Linked DNA regions of Alligator mississippiensis. The protein of the gene in region 3 purifies or fractionates together with the protein of the main gene of each other region. This does not show direct contact. Links are inferred from orthologs where the notes say so. Each region holds a gene or a part of one and is shown on either strand. Other genes may lie near its edges.

The links.
Region 1: the proteins of protein POLR1D (region 3) and POLR1F purify together in Homo sapiens (affinity purification with mass spectrometry; 3 studies listed by BioGRID and IntAct, counting the BioPlex papers as one, with this or other methods). This does not show direct contact. The link is inferred for Alligator mississippiensis from reciprocal best matches to the Homo sapiens genes POLR1D and POLR1F.
Region 2: the proteins of protein POLR1D (region 3) and POLR1B purify together in Homo sapiens (affinity purification with mass spectrometry; 5 studies listed by BioGRID and IntAct, with this or other methods). This does not show direct contact. The link is inferred for Alligator mississippiensis from reciprocal best matches to the Homo sapiens genes POLR1D and POLR1B.
Region 4: the proteins of protein POLR1D (region 3) and POLR3K purify together in Homo sapiens (affinity purification with mass spectrometry; 3 studies listed by BioGRID and IntAct, with this or other methods). This does not show direct contact. The link is inferred for Alligator mississippiensis from reciprocal best matches to the Homo sapiens genes POLR1D and POLR3K.

What each region holds. Positions count from the first base shown.
Region 1 is NC_081828.1:161,473,073-161,479,955, reverse strand, and holds the start of POLR1F (DNA-directed RNA polymerase I subunit RPA43), read right to left. Parts: upstream 3,007-6,883; 5' UTR 2,938-3,006; coding exon 2,729-2,937; intron 2,646-2,728; coding exon 2,504-2,645; intron 848-2,503; coding exon 639-847; intron 1-638. UniProt on the Homo sapiens protein: Component of RNA polymerase I (Pol I), a DNA-dependent RNA polymerase which synthesizes ribosomal RNA precursors using the four ribonucleoside triphosphates as substrates.
Region 2 is NC_081824.1:243,008,088-243,015,892, reverse strand, and holds the start of POLR1B (DNA-directed RNA polymerase I subunit RPA2), read left to right. Parts: upstream 1-4,771; 5' UTR 4,772-4,781; coding exon 4,782-4,958; intron 4,959-5,069; coding exon 5,070-5,237; intron 5,238-7,296; coding exon 7,297-7,443; intron 7,444-7,805. UniProt on the Homo sapiens protein: Catalytic core component of RNA polymerase I (Pol I), a DNA-dependent RNA polymerase which synthesizes ribosomal RNA precursors using the four ribonucleoside triphosphates as substrates.
Region 3 is NC_081824.1:428,177,609-428,184,907, forward strand, and holds the start of protein POLR1D, read right to left. Parts: upstream 3,065-7,299; 5' UTR 2,983-3,064; coding exon 2,957-2,982; intron 1-2,956.
Region 4 is NC_081836.1:21,216,996-21,224,343, reverse strand, and holds POLR3K (DNA-directed RNA polymerase III subunit RPC10), read left to right. Parts: upstream 1-4,549; 5' UTR 4,550-4,606; coding exon 4,607-4,717; intron 4,718-4,926; coding exon 4,927-5,014; intron 5,015-6,591; coding exon 6,592-6,719; 3' UTR 6,720-6,848; downstream 6,849-7,348. Other genes in the region: SNRNP25 (U11/U12 small nuclear ribonucleoprotein 25 kDa protein), read right to left, coding at 31-105, 595-700, 4,091-4,181, 4,374-4,517. UniProt on the Homo sapiens protein: Core component of RNA polymerase III (Pol III) which synthesizes small non-coding RNAs using the four ribonucleoside triphosphates as substrates. Can mediate Pol I proofreading of the nascent RNA transcript.

The DNA.
Region 1 (6,883 bases), on a different chromosome or scaffold from region 3:
CCAGGCCGAAGTGGCAGTGGGGGAGCGGGAGCAGGCCTGGGCCTGGCCTTAGCCGAAAGAGGAGGCGGGGAAAAGGCCCCAAGTAGCAAGGGGAAACAGCCACAGCCCCAGCCCAAGGCAGTGGGGTGGGGGGCTGGATGCAGGCCTCTGTCCCCCCATGCCACTCCAATCATTTTTGATGGGCAATTTGCTAGTTAATAAATATTTTTGGTACTTTGCTTTGAAATTCTGCTGAACATAGTATTTAAAAAAAAATGAAAAAATGGTGCATACCTGATCACTTTAGATTTTCAGATTAACCCATAACACAAATTTGATTATAAAATTATCTAAACACCACTCAAGAATTAATTGACCATGACATTCTGTAACATGTACGTGTGACGCAATAGATTATTTGCATGAAAAATGTTGTTTTTTTTAAAAACTATTTTAGCTACTTTGGATTTTTTTTTAACAAACTCCAAGGTAAATCATGTTAAAGTTCCGTTGTTAATAGGATCCATAGCTATATACAGTCTAAAATAATTTTATATTTAAGAGACAGGAAGACGTTTAGATTTAAGACAAGACATTCAGTGTTATCATGTAGTCTTTAAATAAATGTAAGAAAAATAATCATAATCTTATCACTGAACCTGTCTTTAGTCAGACGTCCCCAGATGAAGAACATTCCAGCAGCATCAGAATCTAAGCGAGAAACTTCAAATTCCAATGTATCTCCTATTTTTAACCCAAGGTCTTGCTGTTGTTCAGCTGACACACAATCGTGTTTAGGGACGGAAGCATTGAAACATCCATGTACCAGACAGCCAATGTGACTAGGGACAATTTTATTGATCACACCCTAAAAAAAGAAAGAGATCAATCAAATTTGATTCAGGTTTCACATTTGCTAATACAATGGTTCTTGACATTTGATTTAGTAAACCAATCCCAGGTGCCTGGCACTGTCTCTCCCCTGCCAGCCTGTCTCCTTTCCAGCACCATGCACAGCTCCACAGTTTACTTCCCATATGCTCCTCTTCCCAGCAAGTTACTGATCCTAAAGCTAGCTATCCACACAGAAGTAGTGTAGCAGTGTTTACCCAGTACTGAACCTGAAGAAATTGGTAGGTAGTCTCTCAGAGGAGCTATTTAGCACTGCATTAAGACAGCTCTCTGCCACATCTAATCTCAGTTTAAATTCTACCTGAGGCTGCAGCAATGTTTTTAAAGGGGGTTAAGGGTCAACTGAGACTTTGCATCCCTCACAGATGCTTTTGCAGCATCTCAGCAATGCACTGGTTGAGAGCTCCTTTTTTCTTTTCACTTGTGCCTACATTTTAAATCTGCTTGGAGTTTTCTGGATGTTGACTTCTGCACATGTAAGAGTTTACACATACAAAGCATGCAATCAATTTGTATGACACACAGCCTTCACAGCTGTAAATACTCAAGTCACTTCTAAGATTTGTTTGTTTCTTTGTCTTTCAAATTACAAAATGCAAAATTAGGATGCTTAACAGCAAAGAAGAATATGCTAAAATGTCAGCCTGACCTTAGTAAGTACCTACACATATAATAGGATCTTAAAATGCCACAACCCACAAGAATCTCTCATGATCAGGCATGCTAAGAAAGAATATGATAGACGACAAAACACAGACAAGAAAAAACATTTTCAAACCTGTCTGAGATGCATGGTACATTAGGAAAGGAAGCAGGTAATGTGCCCTGCTTACGAAAAAGGGTTCTAAAAACTGTACTTTCATAAAGATTAACTGTGACTACTGCTGTAGTCATGTTTCTATTTAAATGTTCCATTCATAGCCACATAATTCTACTTTCAATGCTCTTAAAGTAGAATTTTCTTTCATGCTTTGAAAACAACATGTTTATTTTGCCATTAAGACTTTGGATGTGGAAGTGGTCAATTTGCTAAATTAAAGTGAACTGTTTAACACAGTTCTGTGCCTATCAGCAAGTTAGTATCTCGATCTACTTTTACACATACATCTGCAGAAGTACTGGCAGGGGCATCTCTGAAAACCACCCTTCCACATGGCAGAGATTCATGGCTCGTTATTTGAAATACTCCAGAGCAAAACCTGGTTTTTGTGCCAAAAAAGGGCACACAGGTACTGCATGACCCTGTTCCAATGACAGAATCAAACAGATACTGCTATCTGGCTCCTAACAGGCCTTCGGGGGAAGATGCATCTACACTTCATGCGTTAAATTAACAGCATCTTAAAACCCAAAAGGTAAACCTGTCTCCTGAGGTAGCTCCAGGTGCAAGATAAACACAAGACCTTAGGACAGGGGGAGGCCCAGGGCAGTACAAGCAGCCTCCACATGTCAGCCTGGGGAGGGAACAGGGAGCAAAGCAGCAGAGCAGGCAGGGAAGGAGGGCAGGAGGAGGCACCCCCACCCCCTGCCAGCTTCATCCATTTCCCCAGAGTTGGCCCAAGCTGAAATTCAGTGGGTGCAAGAAGCACCCGCGCTGCTGTCACCTACGTACCACCAGCCTGGTCCCTTTCTGGGGCATGAAGACCACGAAGTCGGCTTCGATGTGAAGGTGGATGGAGCCCTGGTCGTCGTAAATGTCGCCCAGCGCCCCCACGATCTTCACGTGGCTGTAGGCCAGCGGAACGCCTCCCAGGCTGCAGGAGCAGCAGGACAGTGAGACAGCGAGTGGTTTAAGCCTCCCTCCCTCCGCCCATCCCTGCCCTGCCCCGCCCCGCACCTGTCGCAGTAGCGCAGCAGCCCGGCGTCCAGCTGGTCGCGGATGCCCGTGAGTTTGCGGCGCAGGAAGCGCGGCGCCAGCGCGATGTGCCTGCGATGTGGCACCACCACCAGGCACGAGTAGCGACTCGGCACCAGGTCGCAGGCCGCCACGAAGGACGGCACCGCCAGGCCGGGCGCTGGGACCGGGGACTGCGCGGCCGCTGCCATGGCCCTACCGCGTGCCGCTCATCCCGGCGCATGGCAATGACGTCACGCGCCAGGCCTCCCAGGGCGCCGCCCCCAGGAAAGGGGCCGGAAGTGCGGGAGGAAGAGCGCATCTTCCAGGTGTGCGCGCGCACACTCGTGAAAACGCCGAGTGCGGCGCCGCTTCCTTGGGCGGGCCGGCGGAAGCGTTTGTCATCCGGGCTCCCTGCGGTAGGAGGGGAGGGGGCGGGGCTTTGGGGCTCAGCGCGGTGATTGGCTGGAGGTGGATTCCTGGGGGAGAGACAATGCTGCGCGTGGGCAGCGGGCGGAGCGCGGCCCCTAGCGGCGGGCGGGGGCGTTGCAAGGCACCTCTTTCCCCCGGGGTAGCCAGAGCCCTGGGCTGGCCCCAGCTCATAGCAGCCAGGGCTGGAGGGGCCCCTGGGTGGTACAGGCCTGACTGTGCCTAATGTCAGATGATGCAGGGATGAGGGCTGGGAAGGCCCCTGCCACACACTGTGTATATTATGCAGTTAATGGAAAGTCACATTAAAGTCCTCATCTCCCTATGAAAAGGTGAGGAGAGGGAACGGGCTACAGAGTTAGTGCTCGACAAGGTGTCACGACACTGTCCATCCTCTGAGCATGGGGCAGGGCCCAACATGCCCTCGGGACCCTGCTGTCGCTGCGCCAGGCCCAGCCAGCAGGGCAAAGGACAAGCCACCTGGAGGCTGTGACTGGCCCTCGGTGGTTTTGGCTCCTTCCAGTTAGCTCCAGAGCTCAGCCTGTGCTCAAAGGTGAGAGCCGCCAGGCTCAGCCGCGTGCAGCCTGGAGCCCCTCTGAAGGGGGCTGTGGGGGCCCGCGCAGGGGTAGCGCTGTCAGGGGCGCGTGCGTCATTCACGGGATGATGGGATCTCCAGGGACAAAGCCATCTTAGCGGTTGTGTCAGCACCTCCTTGGGAAGCTCTTGCTGAGGCTGTGGCTGCGCTACCCCCTGCACCTTTTGCTCACGTGTTCCCTGCCCGTGGCCCTGCCAAGTCCGGGGACATCCTGGCCAATGTGCTCTCCTAAGCTGGCCACCTGTACGACTAGGAAGGAGACTGTGGCTGGGGGATATCTTCCTGTCCCATACCCATTTCTGCGTTCTGGCAGACATTCACAGGGTGATGTTCACGGGCTCCTTGGATTCATTCGGGCGTGAAAATAATAAGCGAAAATAACTGACATTTTCTGAGGGGTGCCTCAACTTTATTGAGGGGTGCTTTGAGATGAAAGGATTGAAGAACACTGGAATAGAGGCTGAACTCTTTGAGCTGTGCAGTGTTTTAATCCTTAAGGGGAACGAAGTGGGACTAGGAAGGTTTGTGTAGAAGCACCTACATTTTCCTAAGTAGAGTTACTTAATTACCATCTAACTCTGGGGATACCTAATCTATAGAGTTGCCCTTTTTGCTGTAGTTGACCAGAGTTATATCTCTCTGCTTATCCAGAACTGTCCAAGTGTGGACAGAACTGAGCAGCTTGGGTCATCTGTTGCCTGCCTTTGAAAATGCCTGAAGTCTGTAGATGCCTTGACACATGGAGAAAAGCACCTTTGGAGCAACTTCAAAAGCAGAGTGGGGAGCCAGTTCTCAGGAGTGCAGTAACTGTTACAATGTAAGTGCTACATGTGTCTGAGCCCCTGAGGATGCACATACTACTCTAGTTTTAATCCTGCTTCACGCAAGGTAAAGTTGAGGTTGATTTAGCTGATTTATGTCACCACAACCTCATTCTCAGGTAACAGTACAGCATAAGTACTGTTGTGTGGTCCTGATCAGATGTTCCTCCCCGCTTTTGAAGCTGCTCCAAAGTATATATTTGTCTATATCAGTGGGTGTCAATGTTTTTTTAGATTTGAGGCACCCCTCTTTGACTAGAGCAGTGATTCTCAACCAGGGTGCTGCCAGATCCTTTGAAGGCTGCCTGGAGGTGTGAGGAGATAAGCAGCAAAGTGCAGGCTCAAGCTTGTCCCTGCCTGGATGATTCCTCATGCCCACTGACCAACCCTTCCAGGGAGGTAAGCACTGTAAAATAGAAATTAGTTTTTGAAATGGGTGGTAACAGAGGGAACGGAGGTGGTCCAGCATGATTGTAATGGGTAAAGAGATGCAGACAGGCATGCGGGTTCTCAGTATGAGTATTGTAATGGAAGTTCGATGTTGTAAAGGTGTTGTAAAGGCCCCAGAAATGAAATTTTATTAAAAAAAAAAATTTTGTATATGAAGAAATAAGAAAGTGTTGCCAAGAGTGTCTGTCTGGACTACCTGTGCCAAAGCTTGCAGCAGCTTGCACTAAAGGTGAAATGCATTATATCCAGATGAACTAAGTCTGTAGGTACCCAGAGTAATTTGCCAATATAAAAATTACTATAGGCAAATTTGTTTCAAAGATAGTGTTTATTGGTCATTTGTGTCTGAAATATCCTCTCACTTTTACATGCTCCAAAAGCAACCACAGCCTGAGCAGGTTCTCATATGAAGGCTGGGAAAGGTACTGCATGGGCAAGAATTTTTGGGGTCAGAGAGCAAGGAGCACCTGCCCCACCGCGCCACTGTTTTACCTTCTGTATCCTTAAATGGTATGGCCTTGCCCTACAGGGAGAAGCTGGATCAGGGGCTTCCTGCCTCATTTGCATATAACTGTTTGGAGGGTCCAAGGACTCATGACAAGAACAAAAGGTTCCAATTGTGTTGGCAGCTAATTAGCACATGGATCCTTTGTTGCGGGTATCTGGAGTACAAACACATACTGAGCAGTGCTAGGCTCTGGGGTTACCATGGCCTGAAATGCTGGTGACTCAGCTGTGAGCTGTTAGGCTTTGGAGTACTATCATTCCTTGCCTGAGCTGCAGATAGAGAAATTCAAAAGTGCTGCTGATCATAATAAGTGTGTTTCTGGACTGCCTGTGCTGATGCTTGCTGCAGTTTGCACCCAAAGGGGGACACATCACTTCTGGATAAACTAAGTGTATATATACCCAGAGTAATTTCCTTATATCCAAATTTTTAAAAGCATGTTTATTTCAACATTGGGGTTTTTTGGTCCTTTATGATTTAAATTTGCCCCTCACTTATACATACTCAGAGTTGGAGCAGAACCTGAGCAGGGTCTGATGGTAAGTGCAGGGAAGGTGCTGCAGGGGGAAGGAGTGGAGGTTGGGGTTGGTGAGGGGGAGAGGGCAAGGGGGCCACTTGAATCTCCAAGGCCACCATTTTCCTGCTATAGTCTTAATAGTATGGCCTCATAGGGCATTTGTCCACTTACATTTTCATGCTCCAGTGTGCAGGACATCTGGCATGTCAGAGCAGACTCAGTTAATCAGATCTGCTCCAGACATGAGCTGACACGCATTGCACTGCGTCACGTGGTTGTATAAGTGGTGAAATACGTGTCAGCATGCAGAAAATGGCTGTGGTGCATTTCTGAACTACAACACCTTTGATGTGTTTTAGTTCAAAAGCATACTGCCACCATTTTCTCAGAGCTGAGGTGCATTTCACCGTTTATACAAATGTATGTGCCGCAGCACCAGGCACTTTTAAAAGTGTGTGGCACTTCAGTGCCAGCATGTGTACAAATGCCCTCAAAGACCAGCAGACTCTTCTTACACCTGAGGAAGGGCACTTGTGCCTGAAACTTTGCTTGCAAGGAACAATTTTTCCAACTATCCAGGTGGACTAATAAAAGATATTACACTTACCCCAAAAAAACTTGTCTGCCTAAGAAGATTGTAAAATTTGTGAATCAGTACAGGATGCAGATGCTGGCTGAGATAAAGTTGGTGGACCATAACAAGAATCAAGGGCTGAGTGAGGGAAAGGCAGACTGTGGGTGCATCTATATGTTCATTATTGTGCAGCAGATACTGCACATTTTGTTTAGTATTTGCTTAATGAAGTACTAACTAAATGCGTAGTAACTACAGTTACTG
Region 2 (7,805 bases), about 190 Mb from region 3:
AGAGCAGTTTCTCACAACAGCCCCAGGGCGGTACGCGCAGCATGGCCACCAGCCACTGCAATTTCTACCAACCTCCCTGCCCTGCCCCAGCACAGCATGCTGAAGAGGGCCTCCCTGCCCTTCCTGAGATGGACCCATTTTCAACCATGCCCTTCTCAATGCAAGAGGGTTATGGATGCAGCCCTGGGGATGAGCGTAAGAACTGCCCACCCCCCCAAGAGTGCAGCCTTTGGCCCAGCTCTTCTCCCTGCCACAGACTCCCCAACTGACTAGAAGCTGGCCCCGACTAATACCAGAACAGTCTCCAAAAACTTCCATCAGGGAGATCATGTGGGCCCCACAGGTTGCTGTCCCCACAGCTGTGACAGCTGCTGCATGTTTGGGACATATGTTGGAAATCCAGCCTCAACCAGTGTGAATTGTCCCCATGGGTAGGGGTAAGCAATGCCCACAGAATGCCCTAATGCAATGGGGAAGATTTCCCAAGGCACAAAGAGGAGGCAGACCTCTCCCAGCAAGACCCTCTCTGCCACCATTGGGTTTCTACCATTCTCATGTCTTACTGGGAAGGGAGCTGGGAGCTGTGGATCCCATTCTTTGTAGAGGGCACAGGAGCTGCTGGCGTACAGCCCCAAGGATTTTCTTCAGTGTCTGCAGGGAAAGGCATCATGACATGGTATGAGCAAGGGAGACAAGGATTTATTAAATTAAAACCAACAGAATGCCATAGCCACAACCTAGTACCCACTGACTGGCACCCCTGGCAATGCCTGTGGGTGTGCTGGCTCCACAAAGCTGCTAACTCCATTGCTAACCAACACTTGCATCCAACCATTCAATTCCTGGTCCCTATTCCAGCATGAGGCTTACCAAAACTCATGCAGTTGCTATCAGTTCCTGCCCAGTGCCCCTTCCCTGACCATGTTCCCAAGGCCTGTAAATCCCAGCTGTGGACTTCCCACACACCAAGAGACATTGCTGGTGAGTAACACAAGCCTAATTCGAGATCAGAGGTGATGGAGCTTCCTCCAAAGCTCATCCAGCTTGTGTAAGGACAGCCACTTCTCTTCATTTTCCAAAGTTCCCATCCCTGTAAATTAACCCAGTGCTTGAAAGCCATCAATGCATGTAGGACTGGAGACACTTTTTGCACAGACCACAGGCTGCACAATGCAATTGTAAGGGGCACTTGAGTAGCTGAAGAGGAGACTAACCAAAGGCAGGAGTTTTGCAATGCTGCATACAGCCATAGTTCTTGCATGGAATCTGGAAATTAAACAGAGACAACATTAAAAGAGTATTTCAGACCTACTCTCAGTTCCCCCAGTGAAGAGAAACATTCACAGGTAACTTAAGATGAACAACATAAAACATAATATCATAGAATCAGAGAAGACAGGCTGGAAGGGACCTCCAGAGGTCGCAGCAAGTTGAACCCCCGGCCTGAGGCAGGAACATCCTTGTCCAAACCATCCCATACAATCCATAATCTAAACTCTACATACGACTTCCCTCAACCCTGACACAACACAAACCTAACACCCTAACCTGCCAAGGGTAAAGCAAAGGAGCCACAGCACCTAATGTTCTATGAAACATTTTCAATATATGCTCCAGAGATCCCAGGTAGAGATCATGGTTGCCTGCTACAAAAGGCAGGCAAAACCCCCCATAGCCCATACCAATCTGACCGGGGGTAAAATGCCTTCCTGACCCTAAATATGGCATTTGTCTGGCCCTGAGCAAAGGGGCAAGACCCTCTAGCCAAGAACCTCCAGCTTTGGTCCCAGCAGGAGCATTGGCACAGGCCAGACAAAGTCCCCAGCCTTGGCTGTAGCCAACAACTGATGTCTCTGAGGAAGACTTAAAAACACCTTGACACATGTAGCAGAAAGCAGGGGTGGGAGCAACCCGCAAAGCCTAGAAACATGGGAAATCTCCATACTGGAATGCAGGCATAGTTATACCTAGATCATCCCTGACGAGTGACTATCCAACCTCTTCTTAGACACCTCTAGTGATGGAGAGTCCACAGCTTTCTTAGCCATCTATGCCACTGTCTCGCTATTCTAACAGTGAAGACGTTTTTCCAAATTTCCAATCTAAATTTATTTTACTGCAACTTCAAGCCAATGGTCCACTTCCTCCTCTCCATTTTCCCCTCTTCTTTATGACAGCCCTTCAAGTATTGGAAGACTGCTATCATGTCCTCTCTTAAGCACTTTTTCCACAAGCTGAACATGCCTACCTCCTTCAGCCTCTCCTCACATGACCTGCTTTCCAAATGCTTGATCATCTAACTTCTCCATGTCCTTTTGGAAATGTGGAGCCCAGAACTGCACACACTACTCCAGATGAGACCTAACCAGTACTAAGTAGAGAGACACTATCACCTCCTGTGTCTTGTACCTAATGCTTCTAATGATGCATTCAAAAAATCACATTCACATTTTGCATGACAGTTCCCAAGTCCTTTACCATAGTGTTATCATCCAACTAAGGGTCACCCATTTTATAATTGTGTTTTTGATTATTCTTGCTGAGGTGTGGCACCTTGCATTTGTCTGCAATGAACTCTTGCCCAGTTCTCTCCTGTTGCCTCTAGCCAGCTTTCCAGTCTGTCGAGATCCTTCTGAATTGCGCTCACATCCTCCAACATATTCCCAATGCTTCCCAGTTTTGTGTCATCCGCAAACTTGCTCAAGAAGCTTTCTATGCCAGAATTCAAATGGTCAATAAGCGCACTGAACAGCACTGGGCCAAAGCCAGACCCATGTAGGACCACTTGAAGCCTCCTGCTGTTCTGATATGGATCCATTAATAATTACCCTTTGTTTGCAGCTATTGAGCCAGTTACCTTATCTACCTTAAAGTAGATATAAGGTTTGTCAGGAAGGATCTACCTGTGACAAACCCATGCTGGTTTCCTTTCAGCATCGTTTCCCCTGCTGGGCCTTCACAAATGCGCTCTTTATTTTTTTCCAGTATTTTTCCAGGGATAGAGGTAAGACTGACTGGCCTAAAGTTACCTGGCTCATCCCTTCTTAAAAATGGGCACCATGTTGGCCTTTTTCCAGTCCTCAGGGACGTGGCCAGAGCACCATGAGAGCTCAAACAGCCATGCCAGCAGCTCACCTATGACACTGACCAATTCCTTCAGCACCTGTGGATGGAGGTCATCTGGGTTCGTACCCATCCAGCCCTTCCCAAGTGCTCCTTAGCTAAGTCAGCACTAACCTTTGGTGGTCTGGTGCCTTTTGGACATCTGTCTATGCTCAAGGTGGGGGAATTGTCTTGGTCAGTATTAAGGAATACTGAAGCAAAGAACTCACTGAAGAGCTCTCTGCCTCTTTCTCTGCGTCAACCACCAACTGACCTGATTTGTTCTGCAGGGGCCCAATGTTACTCTGCGCCTTCCTTTTGCTCACTGTGTGTCTGTAGAAGGACTTTTTATTGTCCTTAATTGTTGAAGCCAGCCTAAGCTCCAGTCCTGCCTTGGCCTGCCTGATTCCCTGTAATAGCGCACCAGGGTGGTCTATGGCTCCTTGGTGGCTGCCCCCTGCTTCCACTGCCTATAAATCTTTTTGCCCCCAGTCTTTCCTGGAGCTCCCTGTTCAGCCAAGGGGGCTTTTTTATCCCCTTAGCCCCTTCTCTGCACAAGGGGATAGACTCCTTTTGTGCCCCAAGGATCACTCCCTTGAGAAACTTCCAACCCTCTTGGACCCCATTAGCTAAATGCTCTTGAGTTCTGCCACCTCACTAACTAGGTTTCTAAGTTGGCCCTTCTAAAGTCTAAAACTTTAGCATCACTGGATATTTTTCTCACCCTTCCCTGGATAGTGAACTGTACCAAGTGATGGTCACTATCACCCAGGTCACTGTGTACTCGCAGGTTCCCCATGAGATCATCCCATTGCTAAGACCAGGTCTAGCAAGGCGCTACCCTGGTGGGACTGGACACTTACAGCGTGTTGGAGCAGACTCGATTCGAGTCTGTTGGGGTGTGCTAATTAACACACTTCAGCCAGCCCCTGCATCTCATGTATCAGTATCCCCACATTTCAAAATGGCAGCGTCGCACTTTAAACCTGTGTGCTGTGAACTTATGCTGTGATGAAGGTAGGCCCCTACATATAGGACATGCCTCGCAGCAGAGAGCAGGCCCAGCTCCTGGGCACTGTAAAGCCACCTGAATGCTGCTGGGTCTGTCCCCACCTGCACCGAGCTGCTGAGGTTCAGCTTTCTCCCACGGTGACTGAGCACCCTGCTTATCAGCGGCCATGAGGGCATGCGGCTGACACTAGATCCTTATTTCCAGCTCTGTATTCCCAGTTCCTTACTCCCGGGAGGCCCGAAATATTTCCCCGGGCCTGCCAGGAGGCAGGCTGGCACGGGTTGGGCTTGCTCAGAAGTGTCGTTGGTGGCCCCCCCCGCGCGCGGAGCAGACGTGTGGCTGGAGGGCCCCGAGGAGGATTTTGTTCTCTACGCCCAGGTTCATCTCAGCTCCTTATTCCGGGCTGGGCACCGGACGTCGTTCTTTCAGTGACTGCAGGGCCCACAGGAAGGCGAGCTGGGCCGTGCACTGTCCCTGGCACTGGGGGAAGCCCCATTCGCTTTGAAAAGGGCCCAGGAACAAGGAGCCGCCTTCAGCCCCGCGGACCAGTGACTTGTACCCGGGCTGCCCGACCCACGCGCTACCCAGGCCCGGCCCCGCCAGGCTCACGAGGAGGCGGCGCCTGGGCGCGGTGCAAGCCGGGAGTGCGCCCGGGCCCGGCGGCGGCATGGAGGTGGCGGGCGCGTGGCGGGCGCTGCCGGCGCAGCCTAGCCTGGCGGCGCTCACGGCGCTGGGCTACGGGCGGCCGCGGGAGCAGCAGCGCGCGGCGCTGCAGGGGCTGACGCGGGCCCACCTCGACTCCTTCGACCGCGCCGTGGCCGAGGGGCTGCACCGCGCCGTGCAGGTACCGGGGCGGGGCGGGGCGGGGCGGGGTGCGGCGCGGCGCGGCGCGGCGCGGGGCCCCTCGGCGGGCTCGACCGGGCTGTGCAGCGCGCGTGTTGTGTCCCCGGCGCAGGCCATCCCGCCGCTGGAGTTCGCCTTCAAGGAGGAGCGCATCGCGCTGGCCATCGTGAGTGCCGTCATCAGCCCCCCCATGGTGCCCAAGGCCAGCATCTGCAAGGAGCTGAAGGTGTACCCGGCCGAGTGCAGGGGGCGCCGAAGCACCTACCGCGGCAAGCTGACTGTAAGTGCCGCCTGCGCCACATGGCGCGCACCAGGCTGGGGAGGGGGCACATCGGGCAGGGATCAGCAGGCAGGGCAGGGAGCAGAAAGCAGAGCAGCAGGTCAGGGGGGAGGGGAAATCAGAGCATTCAGGGAGGTCCAAGGCTATTTTGTGGAACACCTGTCCAAAAGGTTGCCCCCCCATTATTTTAGATAGTACTTTTAAGGGTTAAAAACCATGCTGCTCCACAGTCTGGTACAGTGGTCACCAACCAGTGGATCTTGATCCACCAGTAGATCTCAGAACCTCTTGTGGTAGATCTTGCAGTCAGTTGGAGGCTTGGGTGTGAGGGGCACTAGTTGGCCAGGGGGGCAAGGGACTGTGGGTAGGGCACCGGAAGGGCAAGGGTGGAATGGGTCTGGACAAGCCATCCATCTTGGCAAATGGGTTCCAGTACAAAAAAGGTTGAGAACTGCTGCCCTAAATCATTAGCTCAGAAACATGCCTTAGGCCAGGCATTTTTAGGATCTTTTCTGGATCACCCTGGGGTGAAGGTGAGGTATAGAGGAGGTGCATCCATTAGAAGATATTTCTCTTACAGAATGACAAAGTTAGGGACTTCTGCCTTGTGGTACTGGAAAGTTGACATTCCTGGTTTTCCAATAGTCTTGACCCTTCTATACCTGGTGGGATCAGTGATCATTTGTGCAAGTACCATTTGTGCATATTTTATAAACAGGTGTGCAGAGCATTTCATGAAAAAGTGAGGAGAGTCCATCTTTCTAACAGCATATGAAATGATATTTTCTTTGTAAACAACTTTTTATTTAAGGGGATTGAACATTAAACACATGTTATTCTATTTTTGACTAGTGGTGTTTGTGTCAGCAGAATGCAGGGAAGCTCTTTTTCTTTTCTTTTTTTCCCCTTGCCTAACTGCATTAAATTTATACCATCATCCCATGCACCCTGCATTCTATTTGACCATTTCTTAATCTGTTTGTCTTTTTTGTAGCGTAAAGTAGTCGTAGTTTATAGAGTTTCCCAGATGTGCAAGTATCTCTTTGCCTAACTGGAGTTTCACGTTGTCTCCACTTTTATTGGCCTGTTATTTGTTCCTCTTGATAGTGATATTAGTAATTTCTTGACCACAGCAGCAGTACACCAGTCTCTTTGCTGGTATTAAGAACAAATACTTTTTTTGATTATTGTTTGTGCAGTTATTGTGAAGTGCTGTACAACAGGGTATAGCTTACAGTTATGATAGACAACACTCAGGCTATATAAAGTTTGTCAGTGTGCACCCTGCCAGGGTAGAAACGTGTTGGCAGATCAATACCCATATTTTAACTTTAATTCTTACAGTTGTTAATTTTAGTGTGGGGAGATTATAAATAATAATAATGACTCCATTCACACTGACATTTCAAACCTTCTACTGTACATAACAGAAGAGTTTACATTTTCTCCCCTTATAAGAATAATTTGGCCTTGAATAACTCAAATACGAGGAAGTTTTTAAAAAAACTTGTTAATGCTATCTGATTTGCAGACAAAACATGAGAAGTATTGACTCAAAACAATATGAGCAAATGAAAATGTGATTATATGGAAATCTCAGTATAGCCTTACCTACCAAAAAAATGTTTTTTGTTTGTTCGATTTATATGCCGCCCTTCCCAGCAAAGACTTGGGGCAGTTTACAGTAAGAAGACAGAATAATTTAAAAATAAGAAAGCGACAAGGTGGCCAAAACAGCTCAAAAGAGAACTAGAAAATCAAGATAAGAGACCTTTCAGCACAACATTGCATCCTAGTTTTGCTTGGTGAATGCTTGCCCAAATAGGATGTTCTTACATTGTTTCCAAAAAATGTGCAGGCGTTCCATTCCCCTTCAGTAATATATGTTGTGTACGCATCAGGCTCTGTAGTTTATATAAGGTGTTATAGCTAGCATAGTGTTTCTTTGTGAGAAATGTAACTTTGCTCATTGTTTCTGTACTGAAGAGTGTGTACTGTTGCTTTGTTCTGACATGTTTGTATTTTTACTTTATTAGTAATTTGCTGCATTTCTTCTTAGGCTGACATCAGCTGGTCAGTGAATGGAATTCCAAAAGGGATTATTAAGCAGCCTTTGGGATATGTTCCAATTATGGTGAAGTCTAAACTTTGCAATTTGTATAATCTTCCTCCCAGAGCCTTGATTGAACATCATGAGGAAGAAGAGGTAAGTGGATTTTGATGGGTCTGGAAAAAATGTCTATATGCAGTATTTAAAGGGAATTAGTTTTGAGTTGGCTTAAAGGATTTCAGCTCATCTTTGTAGAAGTGATCTGGCACACTTTTTGAGAATATGCTATTTCTAAAAATTCTATCTTTTCCCTAACAGAATCAAATCCTGGCCTCTAAACTGCTTCAGGTCACTTGACCTTCAGGGCACGTACAGTCCTCATCTCAGTAAGGCAAAATCACAGGTTGAGGCAAGCAAAACCCACTGTCGATATGAAATTTTAGTAGCTTGGTGTGCAGCAGCCTTGACAAGACATTGTTCCTCCCTTTCTGGAAACACAGGACAGCTTGTGTCCTTTT
Region 3 (7,299 bases):
GTGGAATCACGAAGGCCTTCAAGTGCAAGTTGTGCTTGCAGGGCAGTGAAGGAAGCCTGCATTGCCCCGGACCATGCTGTAATTGTTTTATGACGGTTAACAGGAATATCATTAGACTGTCATCTCAGATATGATTCTATCATATTCTGCATAGCTGTAGTGTTGATAACTTGCTGTAAACTATGTAGTCTTTCTTCCCAGGCAATCTCACAATAAAGTGTGTAATGCCAACAAGATTCACCAAGGAGGTAAGCGCATGCAGGCTGCTTCCAAACCAAAAAGTAAGAGACCTATTATGACTGGATAGTCAAATAAACATACATTTATATTCAGTGCACTCTCTTGGAAGTGCCATAATTCAATATGTAAAGCAGAATGAATATCTCATCCCAACCAAATGCAGAATAGCAGTCACTTTATTCTCTGATAAAATGACTGCAGTCAATTTTGCCACAACACTATGACAGGGTGACATTAACTATCTATTAGCGCATCCATCAATAAAAAGTCAGGGTATTAGGCTTTTTTTTTTTTATTTGAACTAAAAAACCCGAAGCTTATTTTCAATCTGCATTATGATCAATTAGATTTCCAAAGCTTGGCTAGAACAGCTATCAGTATGCATCACTAGTATTTTACAGTGAACAGAGAAGACATCCTTTCCCCGTTTTTCTTCATTCTGTATGGAGGTTTGATTTTTATTTATTCATTGTACAGGAGTACATTTCCTCAACGGACTAAAAATCTCTCTCTGCGCTGTATTCTTAATGCACACATGTTTCTTCATAGACCCCTCAAGAATAATATTGCCAAGACTAGTCTCCTGTGCATACCTCTCTCACCTTTGATGGTTGTGTTATTTTTGCTAGATCACAGAGAGGTACTTGTACTTAGACATGTTACTGTTAAGTCAGGTAGATGGCAGAGTAGAGCTAATTACACCAGAGATGCATAAGCTTTCATAAGCTTGAGCATACTTCATTAGGTGCTGTGAAAGGACATGCACACAGCAGTCTATGTAAAAATAGTGAGAGTGATTTGAATACAAAAGGCAGGGTAGATTTGCACCTTATAGACTAGAACAGTTAGTCTATGAAGTGCAAATCTACCTTGTCTTCTGCCTGACTTCAAACTAACACGGCTAATTACCTCACTATTCACAGGATACAAGACAGAGAATGGATAGAGTAAAGTGGGGGTAGATAATAGCTAGGGACCTACTGAATTTGTGGCAGTTGTTATCTGATTTTGCAGTTTGAGTACAGGGCCAGGCGCCATTTCTGCAGTGCCACCCTCCACCCCGTATTCCTCTGATTGGCCAAGGGGCCCTGGAAGTCCTCTTGCTCCTGAAAATTGATAGATGGCAATCTGTTAGTCTCCAGGACTGCCAAGACTTCCAGGGCCCCCTCAGTCAATCAGAGGCATGTAGGGGGCAGCAGCCCACCACACTCCACTGCAAAAATTTCCCCCTGCCCCCCCACCCTGCTTCAGGATGCCAGGGCTTCCCGCCCTTTTCTGGTTTTGCAACCGCCCTCCCCCCCACCCCGCCCAACTTGCTGCTGATTTTGTACCTTTTCTCAGTCCCTGTGCTTTTTCACGGGGACCAACTGAATTTGCGGTTTTCTTGAAAATCCCGAATTCAATAGGTGCCTAATCATAGCCAAGCCAGGGAATCAGGATCAGGTAGGTGGAGTGAAACAGCCCTCCAGGTAACACAGGTCACTTCTACAGTCAAGTTCAGAATTCAGCAATATCTTTTTCTCATTAAAAACCTGAATGCCCTCTCCAATACACTGCTCTCCAGAATGCAGCAGGATAGATAACAAGCGGGCTGCCTACAGCGAACTCACTTTTAGGGTCAGGACACCTGAAGCAGCAGCTCTCAACCTTTTTAGACGCAAAGAATCTCTCAGAAAATGCCAACGCTTATGTTCGCATTCTTTGACTACAAAAAATAACAGAGCCATTTTTCTACTGCAAAGACCATGATGACAGGGCAGAACATTTCCTTTCATTGTGGACAGCTGGATAAAAACATCAGCTTGGTGCCATCAAGAAGGCAGACAAAATGCGAGGGATTATTAAGAAGGGAATTGTAAACAAAACAGAAAGTGTCCTTATGCCGCTTTATAAATCCGTGGTGCATCTACACCTTGAATGCAGTGCCCAGTTCTGGTTTTCACACCTCAAAACGGAGGCAGAAGAACTAGAGATGGCCCAGAGAAGAGCAATAAGGATGGTTAGCGTATGGAGGGGCTCTCCCAAGGGGGGAGACTACAGAGCCTAGGCCTATTCAATTTAGAAAAGAGCTGGTTGCAGCAGGGGGCACGAGAAGGATTTACAGACCAGTAAATGGTGAACAGACAGTACCAGGGACAGATCATCGACTCTCCCGAGACAGGAACTAGACAGTCACAGAATGAAGCTAGCAGGTTGCGAGTTCAAAACCAATTAAACCAAGTTTCTTTTCACACAGCAAGTCATGCAAGTGGGAACCTGCTGCCCTCACACGCGGGGGAAGCCGACAGTTCAGCCACATTCACAAAGGGCCTGGACAAATTGTGGGAGGAAAGCAAAGGGCACCAGGACCAGGGAGCGCGGGGCCCGGCCCGGAGGCTGCAAGGGCGACAGGAGCAACCTCGGGCAGACGCGGCCCGCGAGCCTGTGCCGGCCAGGCCGCTCCGCACTCCCCTGAGGGAACCTCCACCTCCCCTCGTGCCCTCCACGCCCAGCCGCGCCCGCGCGCAGCAGGCCTCGCTGGTCTGCGGAAGACACAAACAGACAGGAGAAGGCCTCACTCGCCCGGCGGCACAGGCCGCGGAGCCGCCGGCCCCGAGCTGCGGCAGGCCCCCGCGTCCGCGGCGGGCCACACGGGGAAGGGGAAGGGGAAGAGGACGGGGCCCCGCGCCAGCAGGAGCAAGGCCCGCGCCCGCCCGCCCCCAACGCCGCCTCTCACCGCTCCAGCTCCGGGTCCTCGTCCATGGCGGCCCTTCCCCCCGCGGACGGTTGCAGCACCGCGAGGCCGGCCGGGGAAGGGGCGGGGTGCCGCCGGGCCACGCCCCCTTCCGCGGGCGGGGCGACGCTGCCACGTGCGCCGATGGGGGCGGGGCCCGGCTGTCCCCGCCCCCCGGTGCCGCCCCCGGCCCGTCGGCTCCTGCCCGGGGTTCGCTGGTGGCCGGGGCTCGGCGGCGGCGGCTCCTCCCCCCCACGCCCTGGGGCCGGGGCCGGGGCCGGGGCGGCCGCGCAGTGCGGGACAGCTGCCCCCGGGCCCGGGGCGGACGAGCCATCCGTGGCGGTGAGTAACTTCCCGGCTCGGCTTAGGGCGTCTTCTCCCGCCCGGCCCCCAGCAAGGGCATCGCCCTGGCCCGCGCGGGGAGGCCGGAGCTGCCGGAGGACCGCGGGCGCTGCAACAAGTGTGGGGCGGGCAGGAGCATGGGGCGGGCTCGGGCGCAGCCAAGTTTGCTCTGGAGACCGCGGTGCGGGCAGGGGCAGGCGGCTGCCGCCGGCGGGGGGAGGGCGAGTCCCCTCTAGGCACCTCCGCATGTGCTCCCCGAGCCGGAACCCTTCCCACGCTGGGCTCCGGTCAGGGGGAGAAGCCCTGAATAAACAGGACTGCCTCCCTGTTGTTTGCCAGTCTGACATTTAATATTGTGCCGGGAATAAAAAAAAAAAAAAAAAGTCCCCCCCCTTTATTTTGCATCCCTGACCATTGCTCCAGGCGCAGTCAGCATCATGGTTGCAGAGGTGTGAGGAGAAAAAAGGGTTCATCCTTTTTTTCCTAGCCTATTGCCATTCCTCCTTTCCAGCACAGAAATGAGGTTTCTTCATGGTGGTTCTGGTCCTGCACTTGCTCAGAGGGAGGGGAGTGGGTATTTGCTGGCTGCAGCTGCAGGCTGGAAGAGCTACAGCTATTCTTTTCCCAAACCTGAGCTGTCATTATATGCTGAAGGCTGCACTGAAACCTAAATTGCATATGCAACAAAACTGATATTTGTGTTTCGGCTTGTGTACGAGGGATTGACTGCGGATGTATTTATTCAGCCTGTTACTGAAATACGTGTATGCCGCTCGGATGTAATTTTATGAAAGAGTTCTAAGGGCTGAGGAGGAGTTGAATTACTGTGTGTGTGGGAGGAAGAAAGAACAGCTGCAAGCAAGCCCCTGTTATAGGAGTTGGGTTCAGGTTATGTGTTTCACAACCCTACCATAGCAAATCATAGCTAAATGTACACCTCGAAGCATCTATAATAGACAGTTATTTCAGAAGAGTAAATTTCACTCTCTCTTCTCTAACAAAGGCCCTATTTTTTATTCATTAGTTTCTATCTGTGAAAAATCTGTAATAAGGGATACTTCAGAGTCATTCTTGCTCTTGATGAAAAGTTAGTAATCAGCAGTGTAGCGAACTGGTAATTTTGGATGTGCCCATGGCAAATATGACAGTCCTCTGTGACTTTTTTTACTGTGTTGCTAATGTATATACCATTGGATTGTTTACTTCAGTAGAAATCCACTATTAAGCAGTTCTGAGCCTTGTTTAATTCCTTTTTTAATTACATTACAATGTGGGTTTATTTTTGTCTTTCTACAAAGTAAAAATGTCTGTTACGGATTAACCCCAGGATATGGTTGATGATAGTGTCTGAAAATAAATGTGTGTGTTTGGCCTTCTGTTAAAAAGGGAAATTATTCTGAGCTAGACTCTTCATCTCATTAAATAAGTTGATTGATTGATGCTTATGCCTCTTCCCACTTCTTTTTGGCTTGCTGATGTTTTACCCTAAGCATGTAATCTGACAGCAGATAAGGAGGCTTAGGAAGAAACATCAGATGGTTTGAGTTAGCATCCCTACCCACTTTCAAAATAAAGATGCTGGTGCCATATGTTGCTGTGCTTTGTTAAAACAAATTTCCTCAAAATGGAGCCAAGGTGTATACATCTCCTTTCAGGAACATTAGTGTGGCTTAATAAAGCACTACTACCATAACTTTTCTGAGGAGTAGTAGTGGGAGTCCTGTCTCCCTCTACTTGGTGCTGTATTAGCTGATGAAGTATTTCAGGAAAAGAAGGATTGGAATAGGCTTACAAGCAATTATGGAGGAAGTCAGCTGGTTAGCACAGAACTGTTAGATAAGAAAACATTGCATGGTGAACTGGAATGATTTATAAAAATAACCTATTTGCCTTTTTAAAATTACTACAGCCCACTGATATAATTAGTAATTACAAATAAATTATTTAAAATCAATGCATCTAGTAATACCTTCCTAACTTGCTGAACAGTTCATCCTTTTTTAGGCTTTAGTTGCATCAACTCAAGCAGGCCAAACCTTGACCCTTGAATTCAGCCCCAGCTAGAGAAGTCAATAGAATACTTTCACATGTCCTGTCAATAATTTACAAGCCTAATGTCCATTTAAAATGAATCAATGTGTTTTTCAGTGAAACGGTAACAATTTTGCAAGAGGATTAGGCACCACATACTGGTGTTTGTTGCGGAAAGATGCATTATGTTATTTAAATATGAACATCTTAATTTTCATTTTTCAAAAACACGGACTCTGATACTGCTGACTGTTCTCACAGGTGCAGGGGTCTGCTCAGAGAAGTCCGGTTGATGTCAGTGAAGGTTTACCTGCCCAGAGCAGCCTGTGCCAAGACCCTGATGCACATACTTGTATATTTATATCATGAACTTATTTGCTAACCCCACCCCATCCCCAAGTTGATTAGCTTCTGGTGTAAGCATCATTGTCTAACTGAAATATAATATGCTTCAGAAAGCAAGCAAAGTAGGTCAGGTCCCTAAGTCCCCTGCTAATTTTTATGGCTTCATTTTCTCACACTTTTAAGAAATGTCTTCCATTGTTTGAACCTGACAGTGCAGAAGGGAGAGCAGTATTGATAATCTCCCTCCTAAACTAGAAGTGGAACATATGGAGATTGTCTGTTTAGTCACTGGATAAAGCTAAATTAATTTCAGGAATCTGTAAAATGTAGCTCTTGTTAGGAGTTATTAGATGTTAACATCTGTAACTAAAAGGAAAGCAGCACTCACTTAAAGCAATGCTCCCATACTTGGTGTAGAAGATGAGAGGAAGCAAAAATTCCAGCCTTGTAACCAGTGAATTGCCTTTGATATTTGAAAGCTTCATAATGATTGTAAAGCAATTTGTTAATATGATATCATTGAATTATATGCTGCTTAATTGCTTTATTAGGCCAATAGAGCTTGTTGTTTAGAAAGTCTACTACCTTTTTTAAGATGCAATCTGTTTAAATGCCACTATGTAATTGTTGGGTCATGCTTTCTACAGTGCGATAGAGAACTATAAAGTTGTAATGCAGGATTTTTATGGCTTTAACTATAAATATTTATATATGCACTTAAATTTAACTGCATTTTTTGTTGCAGTCGGTGGGACTATTTTTGCATTTCATTTTAAGTTTGTGCATACATATTTGCAGATCAGGATTTATATCTGTAAAGTTTGAGATTAAACACTTGCGTGTTTTGGTATTAAACATTTCATGTTTTTTATGAAGTGTGCGTTCTCTGGTAGGGATATGATATGGATATATAACTTCTGGTTTGGAATCGCATTGGTTAATGTGAATGCCAGTGCCTAGATCAGTGCTTCCCAGACTCTTCCTCAGCATGACCCCACTCATGGCCCCATTTCCTCAACATGGCCTTTCACTCTCAACCCACAGCCCCCCACCCTCATGACCCCATCTGATGATGTTGCAACCCCATTTGGGGTTGTGATCCGCAGTTTGGGAACTGCTGGCCTAGACGCTTTTCCAACTTGCAGCTATGCTCTGGGTGGTATTAGCTTAATTCAGGCAACATTCTGGCATATGAGCTGACATGGTACTTTCAGGACTTTTCTCAATAATATGAATGTCCTGCTCTTTACTTCAAGTGTTTTTGATATGATCTAGCTTACGTTAGAAATAGTTACAATGCTTTATTTTTACATATATTTTAATTAATACCATTATTTCCCCAGATAATGGTGGTTGGTGTTAATCCACGTTTTCCTTACAGGAGTTTTGGTGAAAAAAAGATGTGCGGTTGTTTCTTTCAAGGAAGTAGCATATTGATCTGGGGTGCTCAGTTTGCTCCATCCAGCTAATTACACAGTAGAAGAACTAGGCATTTTTAAAAGTTTTTATGGTAATCTATATTTCTATATGTCAAACACACATAGTAAGGTTCTAAATTTTCATATAACTTGTACATTAGATAGTAAAAAATGATATCTGTATGGGTATAATTATGCAGGCTGGTGAGG
Region 4 (7,348 bases), on a different chromosome or scaffold from region 3:
ATAAAACTGAGGAGAATTCTGACCGCTTACTCTCTCAGCTTCTTTCGGTCGTCTGTCAGTTTCTCTCCAGCAAAGGTTAGGTGATATGTTCTCCACACATATTTCCTGCAAAATCAGAATTCTGTGAGTTAAAGGACAAAAGGAACAGCAGTTAACCACATTAATTAAAAAGTAGGAGCAGAAAAGGGACAAGCAAGATATATGACTCAGTGAGTACAACTGAAGCTTTCTGATCAGCCAGGTCAGGTAACCACTGAATTCCTGGTTTGTGCAGTTTGTCTTTTCACGGTCGTGGTGCTCATCTCAAATTGCAGTGACCAAGCAGCTGGACGTTCAGCCTGTCTCAAATGAATCTTGCACAGGCTTTTCCTAAGCCCCTGAAAATACTTTACTTTACCAGCTAGTCATCAGCAGGCAATTCTTTCAGTTTGATCAAACACCAGCAAAACTATAAAACAGAAAAAATCTCAAAATTTGAGAGTCAAAAAGAAAATAGAATGGTGACTGCTATATGCAGCCCTTACTGCAGAAGAAGAGGGTAGTGCTGAAGTTTAGATTGTCCACAGCACACCTTGCCTTTCTTTGAGAGCTTACCAGCTAACATGCTGTATACCTCCTTCCCGCTCCTGTTTCAGCTGCACATACCGCTGGATGGCTTTCTTCAGGTCCTGGACACTGGCATTCTGTACCACTACTACAGCTGAAGGGGAGAAGACTTGCAATTAATAACACCAGGAGATATGCTCTGAAAGGAGGCAGAGCTCCAGGCCCTACCCTTACCTGCTAGAAGCTGCACTTTATAATAGGAGCTATTTTATGCCACAACCACTCCAGAACCCAGCCTGAAGATGGAACTTAGAGGGCACCAACCCAACTGAATAGCTGAGGAATGAACATGGCTAAGTCTTCCTGTCTGGGTCAGTCTTCACAAAGGAGGTTGCTTTATAGCAGGGGTGGGCAAAATATGGCCTGTGGACACTATCTGGCCCGCAGGGCCCCTAAAAAAAATGTAGAAAATTAAAATGCATTTGTCCTTGGTTCCCATCAAAAATGACAGGAACAAGGGGTAGTAGGACCCAGGGGAATCCTCAGCAGGATCCTGCAACAGCAGGGCCCCTCCGGCCCCGGCCCCCCAGCTGGAAGCCCCAACAGGGGAGGAAGCTCAGGTAAAGGTGGGGAGGGAGGGTGGCAGGGAAGGAGCTGGTGCAGAACGCAGGGAAAAGCGGCCCCTCCCCCACCCCATGGCCAGCCCTCACTACTGCAGCCACTCACAGCATGCATGGGGCTGTCCTGAGCAGGCACAGAGCCCCACACGGGGCTGGCAGTGGGGGCGGGTTACAAGCTGGTCCAGAGCATGGGAAAAGCGGCCCCTCGCCCACCCCCTGCACTGCAGCTGCTCGCCACCCGCCTGGGGCTGCCTGTGCCTGCTCAGGACAGCCCTGCGCGATGTGTGAATGGCTGCAGCAGGGAGTGTGGACCATGGGGCAGACAAGGGGTGGCTCTATCCTGCGCTCCGCACCAGCTCCTTCCTTGCTGGTGAGCAGGGGTTCAGGGCTGTGCGCTCCCCCAAGCCTGTACCATGGGGCTGGGGGGGGGGGGGGGGGGGCACTGGAAATGAGTGGGCGCAGGAACACAGGGCTCGCACCGGTGTCCCAGCAAGGCCCAGAGCAGGGGTATAGGGTTCCAGCTGGCAGAGGCTCTATGGAGCCGGGCCAGCTCCCCCCTCTTCCTGCTGGTGCAGCCCAGCTCCACAGACCCCTGCCAGCCTGCACCCTGTTCTGGGCCCCACCGGTGCTGGCCCTGGGACATCAATCCCAAGACATTGGGACACTGTTCCCAAGATGGTGGCCAGGGGGCAGGGCACCTGTCAAAGGACGGGGCTACCCATGCAGCCCTCGACAGCTTGCCAAAACTGGGTAAGCGGCCCTCCGCCTGAAATAATTGCCCACCTCTGCTTTACAGCCTTTAAGCTCCAACCTCGTACGTTTGATAGAGGCAGGTTTGAGGTGACGGACCAAATGAGAAATCATTACAGAACACTGTCAGTAAGCTGTATTTCTGCCTGCCACCAAGGTAGGGTATTAATCAGGTACTTCACCCAATTACACACCTACTCCTCTGGCTCCTAAGTACTTCAGGGTGCTGGGCTGAGGTTCGTGAAATTGTGCCCCAGCCATCTCAGTCCACTCAATGCACCAAACTGCAACTGCCCACCTTGGATCACATATGTAATTTCTTCTCCACTTGCTAGAAGATGTCACCATATTGTGACAACAAGGTAGGCATTAAGACCAATATCAAAAGACTAGCTTTGGGAACCAGAAATTAATCGCTATTCTCTATCAATAAGGACCTACCAAATTCATGGCATAAGTGGGGTACATGGCAGATCCTTCAATCTTTCATGCTTCCTCGTGTGCCCCTCCCCGCAGTTATTGATTGGCATAGGGAGCACACTGCTCCCTCCTAATTGGTAGGAAATGAAAACCATGGTTTTAATTATGGTGTGGTTTTTGCCTCCCCGCCAGCCAGCAACAAGCATCAGGGCCACTGGGGCCCCTCAGCCAGTCAGCGGCAGGAGGCAAAAATGGTGCCAACTAGGGGTGCACTGATAAAAATTTTTTGGGCCGATACTGATGGCCAATTAGCAACAAGCCACATTGGCTGACACTGATCCAATTGCCAATATACAGCCCAACAGCTCAGAGAGCAGCATCAGGCTGGTAAGTCTGTTGTGGGGAAGGGGCACGGGGGGGGGAGGCAAAACAAGGCCCCCATGGTGAGGGATGGAGTGTGATTGGGGCAAGGACAGGGGCAGACACTGCGTGCACTCCTGGAGGAGGCATAGCGGGGCACGTGCCTCCTGGACGTGTGCACAGTGTGGCACCAGACTCTTTCCAGTGGTGAGGGCCAGGCTGAGGTTACAGGGGGCTATGGCAAATTTTGGGATGGCTGTAGCTCCCCCCTCCCAGCACCACCCATCCTGAGAGCAGCCCAAGCCCAAGCCCCACCCATCAGGCAGAGCCTGACACTGCTCCTGGCCCAAGTGCACAGCAGCAGCTTGCCTTTGCTCTGTGCACAGATCTAGGAGGCATCCCTCCCTTGGGGGTGCATGCAACAGCGGAATGTGACTCCCCGTACACCATCCAGACAAGCCGCTTATGGCGGTCTTGTGCCCTGTCCTGGCTGTGCAGCACCTGCCCCAGCCCCACTCCCTTCTTCACTGTGGGGGCCTTGATCTACCCCCAACCCATTCCCCCCCCCCCCCCCCCCTCGACTTACCAGCTGGATGCTGCTCTCCATGCTGATAGGCTGCGCTCTTGGCCACCTGTGTGCTGTCCTGTGCTGCGCTGCAGCTGTGTGCATGCACGCAGCATGTATTGGCAACATTACTGCTCACAGCAGCCAAAAAAGCCGATTGCCAATAATGTCAGTTTTACGTTTATTGGTGCAGATATGATATGTACCAATATATCACTGCACCTCTATTTAAAACTGCAGTTTTTTCCTAACCACCAACCAGGAGCAAGCTGCAAGTGTGGCCCCTGCACTAATCGGGGGGGGGGGGAACCTGCAAGATTAAGGAGCAGCAGTGCACCCCACTTGTGCAGTGAATTTAGTAGGTCCCTATCTATGGATCTGACCCCAGGTCTGCTTGGCTTTACTACTAGGGTACTACTAGGGCTTTACTGCCTGTCCTGATGCCAAGGGCTTACCAACTAATATACATTTCAGTTAAAGCATCTCCTTCCACTCCATGTCTGTGCGGTCCTCCACTGTTTTCGACAGATGCTGCAGAGCACTCAGACATGCTGGAACTCGTAGGGAACAGGACTGAACATTATCACTGTGCAGGCTCTTCAAGAGCAAGCATATTTAAAGGACTACATGACATAAGACTGCTCCACAGCAGCAGGAGCAAGAAGACAAATGCTGCCCCTGCACAATGCCCACAGGTTAGCATCCCCGTCTCAACACCACGTGTCCCTATGTGCGCGGTGCTCACCCATCCCCACAAAGCCAGCACAGCCAACGTGAGGCCGGGCAGCCGCCAAACAACCCCAGCAAGGGCAGCGCCAAAAGCACTTACGCATCACTTCCTCGTCGGCTTTGCACACGCGCACCGTCATGGCCTGGCCGTACTCCAGCGCGATTTGGGAGTTGATTTCCTCCGGGGTGACCTGTCCGGGGCAGAACAGCGGCCGCGCCCATGAGTCCCGCCCCGGCCGCCCAGCAGCTCCCTCGCTCCGGGCACTCTCGTCGCTTCCCTGCAGCGGTGGGCCGCGCCCCGCACCCGGCCCCTCTGAGCCGCTAGGAAAGGCCGCGACGCCGGGCGCCCTCGCAGCGCGGGGGACGCGGCGCTCTGGACCCACCTGCACAGGGAGGTCGCACAGCAGCGGGTCCTGCACGAGCCTGACCAGCCCCTCCTGGAAGAGCTCCAGCACCTCTGCGTGCGCCAGCTCCTCCTCCTCCTCCTCGGCCTCAGCCTCCGCGCCGCTTCCGTCCGCCGCCGCCATGGCCCGGCCCGCGCGGCGGCTCGTGGCAGCCGAACCTGATCCGCCGGAAGTGGCGGGGCGGGGCGGGGTTCTGGCTGCTTGGCGCAGAGATGCTGCTTTTCTGCCCGGCCTGCGGCAACGTGCTGGTGGCTGAGGAGGGGCCGCGCTGCCACCGATTCGCTTGCACCACGTGTCCCTATGTGCGCAACGTTACGCGCAAGGTAGCGCCCTTCCCCCCCCCAGCGCTGGGTGCGCGCTCGCGTTGCCCGGAGCCGGCGGCGGGGCTCGCGGCGTTGGCCGACACCGTGTAGCAGCCGCCGGCGCTGCGGCCGCTCTTGGCTGCGCCAGGGTGCGGGGGGGGAGTCGATGAGACGCGTGCGGGGGGCCGAGCACGGGGCTGCAGGCGAGTGAGTTTTCCGGGCGCCTCCAGGTGACCAGCAGGAAATACCCGAAGCTAAAGGAGGTGGACGACGTCCTGGGAGGCGCCGCTGCTTGGGAAAACGTGGATTCCACAGCAGGTGAGAGCCGGTGCCGGCCTGGCCTCGTCGGTCCTGCTGCTCATCGCCCCCGCACGAAAGGTGCTGCTGGTGCTTCCTGTCCAGCGGCGCCTTCGGCTTCAGCCCGCTGCCCCACACTGTTCTCGAGCCCAGTGCCTTGCATGCAGGCACGCTGAGCTATCTGCTCTGCAAGAGAAGCCACTGCCTTGAGTAGGTGGGAGGATTAGTCTGCACTGGGCTGCACTTAAGGAAGATGGATCCTGAAGTGATACAAGCTGTGCTTCTTCCACACAGGGACAGTGGGAACTCATGGTGCTGCGAGGGATGGTTCTTGGGCCACAATACTTGAAACAATTGAAGGGTCATGTTTATCCATTCTTCTCTTGCCCACTAAGCTCCACATGCATGCTACAGTGCTGTCTTTCTGGGTCACTAAGCAGTTTGAAATGATGATTCTGAGAAATGTGAACAGCTCCCTCTCTCTCTTGTCATCTTATGGTGTTATTCTAAAGCTTGACTGTGATAATTCACTTGATTTCCTATGGCTCCAAGCAGTAGTGGAGGGTTTTTATGGCCAGCATGTTAGCCACAAACCATGGATTGGCGACCACAGTTTGACAAAATGTCCTAGCTTTGATCATTTTAGTATGATAGTAGTAAGATGAAGAGGCCACAGAAGTGAAGCATGGCCCAGTTGAGAGTGGGACCTAGAAGTTCTTTCAGAAAAGGGAATTGGATTGAATAGAGAAATCTTACCGTTGCTTTTGCGAGTTAGGGAAAATGAATAAAGGGGAAAGAAAGACGAGAAAACAGAGCAGTAATTGTGTTTGGTAGTTGACAAATTAAATGCACGCTCCCTTTTAGAAGTGCTGAATACGACAGTCGTGTACAAAACAAATGTGATGTTTAGATGCAACATAAGATGTTATCTATCAAATATAGATAATTTTGTGTAAAGCCTGCAGCTAGAATCTGCTGTGGATTCAGAAGCAGAGTTTGAAGCCCTACACACATCTTGGCCTGTGAATTGACATAGAAAATGGAATTCATCTCCCTCTCCACCCTGTGTGCCTTATCTTTAATCTGACATGTCTGCCTCTCTCACCTCCTTACAAAAGAGAGAAGACCACCTGACTCCAAAATTGCACTGTGGCAGTATTGCTGGTCCTGGTTGGTTTCATGAAACTGCTGTAATTTCTGTGCTAGTCCTTCTCTACTCCTAGCTCTGAGTGGGACTTGCTTTCTGCTAATCTCTAGTCTGCAGGAGACATGCTGGCCTTTTGGTAGCCAGGGTTATTCAGATCTCCTGCAACTCTTAAGAAACTAGATGGTCCTCACTGATTTTGTTTAATCAGTTGATGTAATGGAGTGTGCTCAAGGACAGGAAATGTCCTGTGTTAGAGATCCTACCCCTAAAGTTCCATTAAGTTTTCTTGGAGCTTAAAGTTGGGCAGATGGAATGTTTACAAAAAAAATCCATCTCTTGGGTTAATGGTTTGTGGAAGGTTGAATTTAAGTAGAACCTACCTACACCCCTCTGTGACATAAGGAAGAATTGCTCTGCCAAGCTCACTTCACTTCTAATGTTTCTTTTTCAGAACCGTGTCCCAAGTGTGAACATCCACGTGCCTACTTCATGCAGATTCAGACCAGATCAGCTGATGAGCCTATGACCACATTTTATAAGTGTTGTAATGCTCAGTGTGGCCACAGGTGGAGGGATTAACTTTCCTATCATATGTGTTAGTTCTTGTTTGTTCAAAACAAAACAAAAAATCCAAAAAAGCATCTCCATCTGGTTTGTTGAATGTGAAATGCTAATTCTAATATAATAAAGGGCTTTGTCTGTCTGTAACACTTTTGGGCAAGTGTGTGCGTGCGGTTTTAAACTGGGCACATTTCTCTCTCCCAGGAGGGAGAAAAAAATGGTGCCAACTTTAAAATCACAGCTTTTGTAGCTGCTTCTCTGCAGCCATGTGGGGCCCCTCCCCCAGTGGAGCTGGGGAGGTAGACTGGGGCTGGGCTGGCCAGGAATGCAGTGCAGTGCAGGCAGGGGGACCAGAAGCGCTGTGCTGTGCAGCAAGGCAGGGAGCAGCGCTGGGGGGGGCCACAGCCCCCCAACATTCACCTTATCACCTGGACCTGCCCCTCCCAGCACTGCCACCTGAATGAGAGGTGGGGTGCAGTGTTGCCAGCCTGGCCCCTTGCACATGCATGGCTGCAGGGACACAGCCCAGCATCAGCTCCCTCCCGGTCAGTGGGTGGTGGGGGGGGGGCAAAGATGGCTGCCTCAGTGTGATGGGGAGGTCCTGGGAGGGGAAGCTGTGTCTGTGTGTGTGGACATGTCTGCGTCTG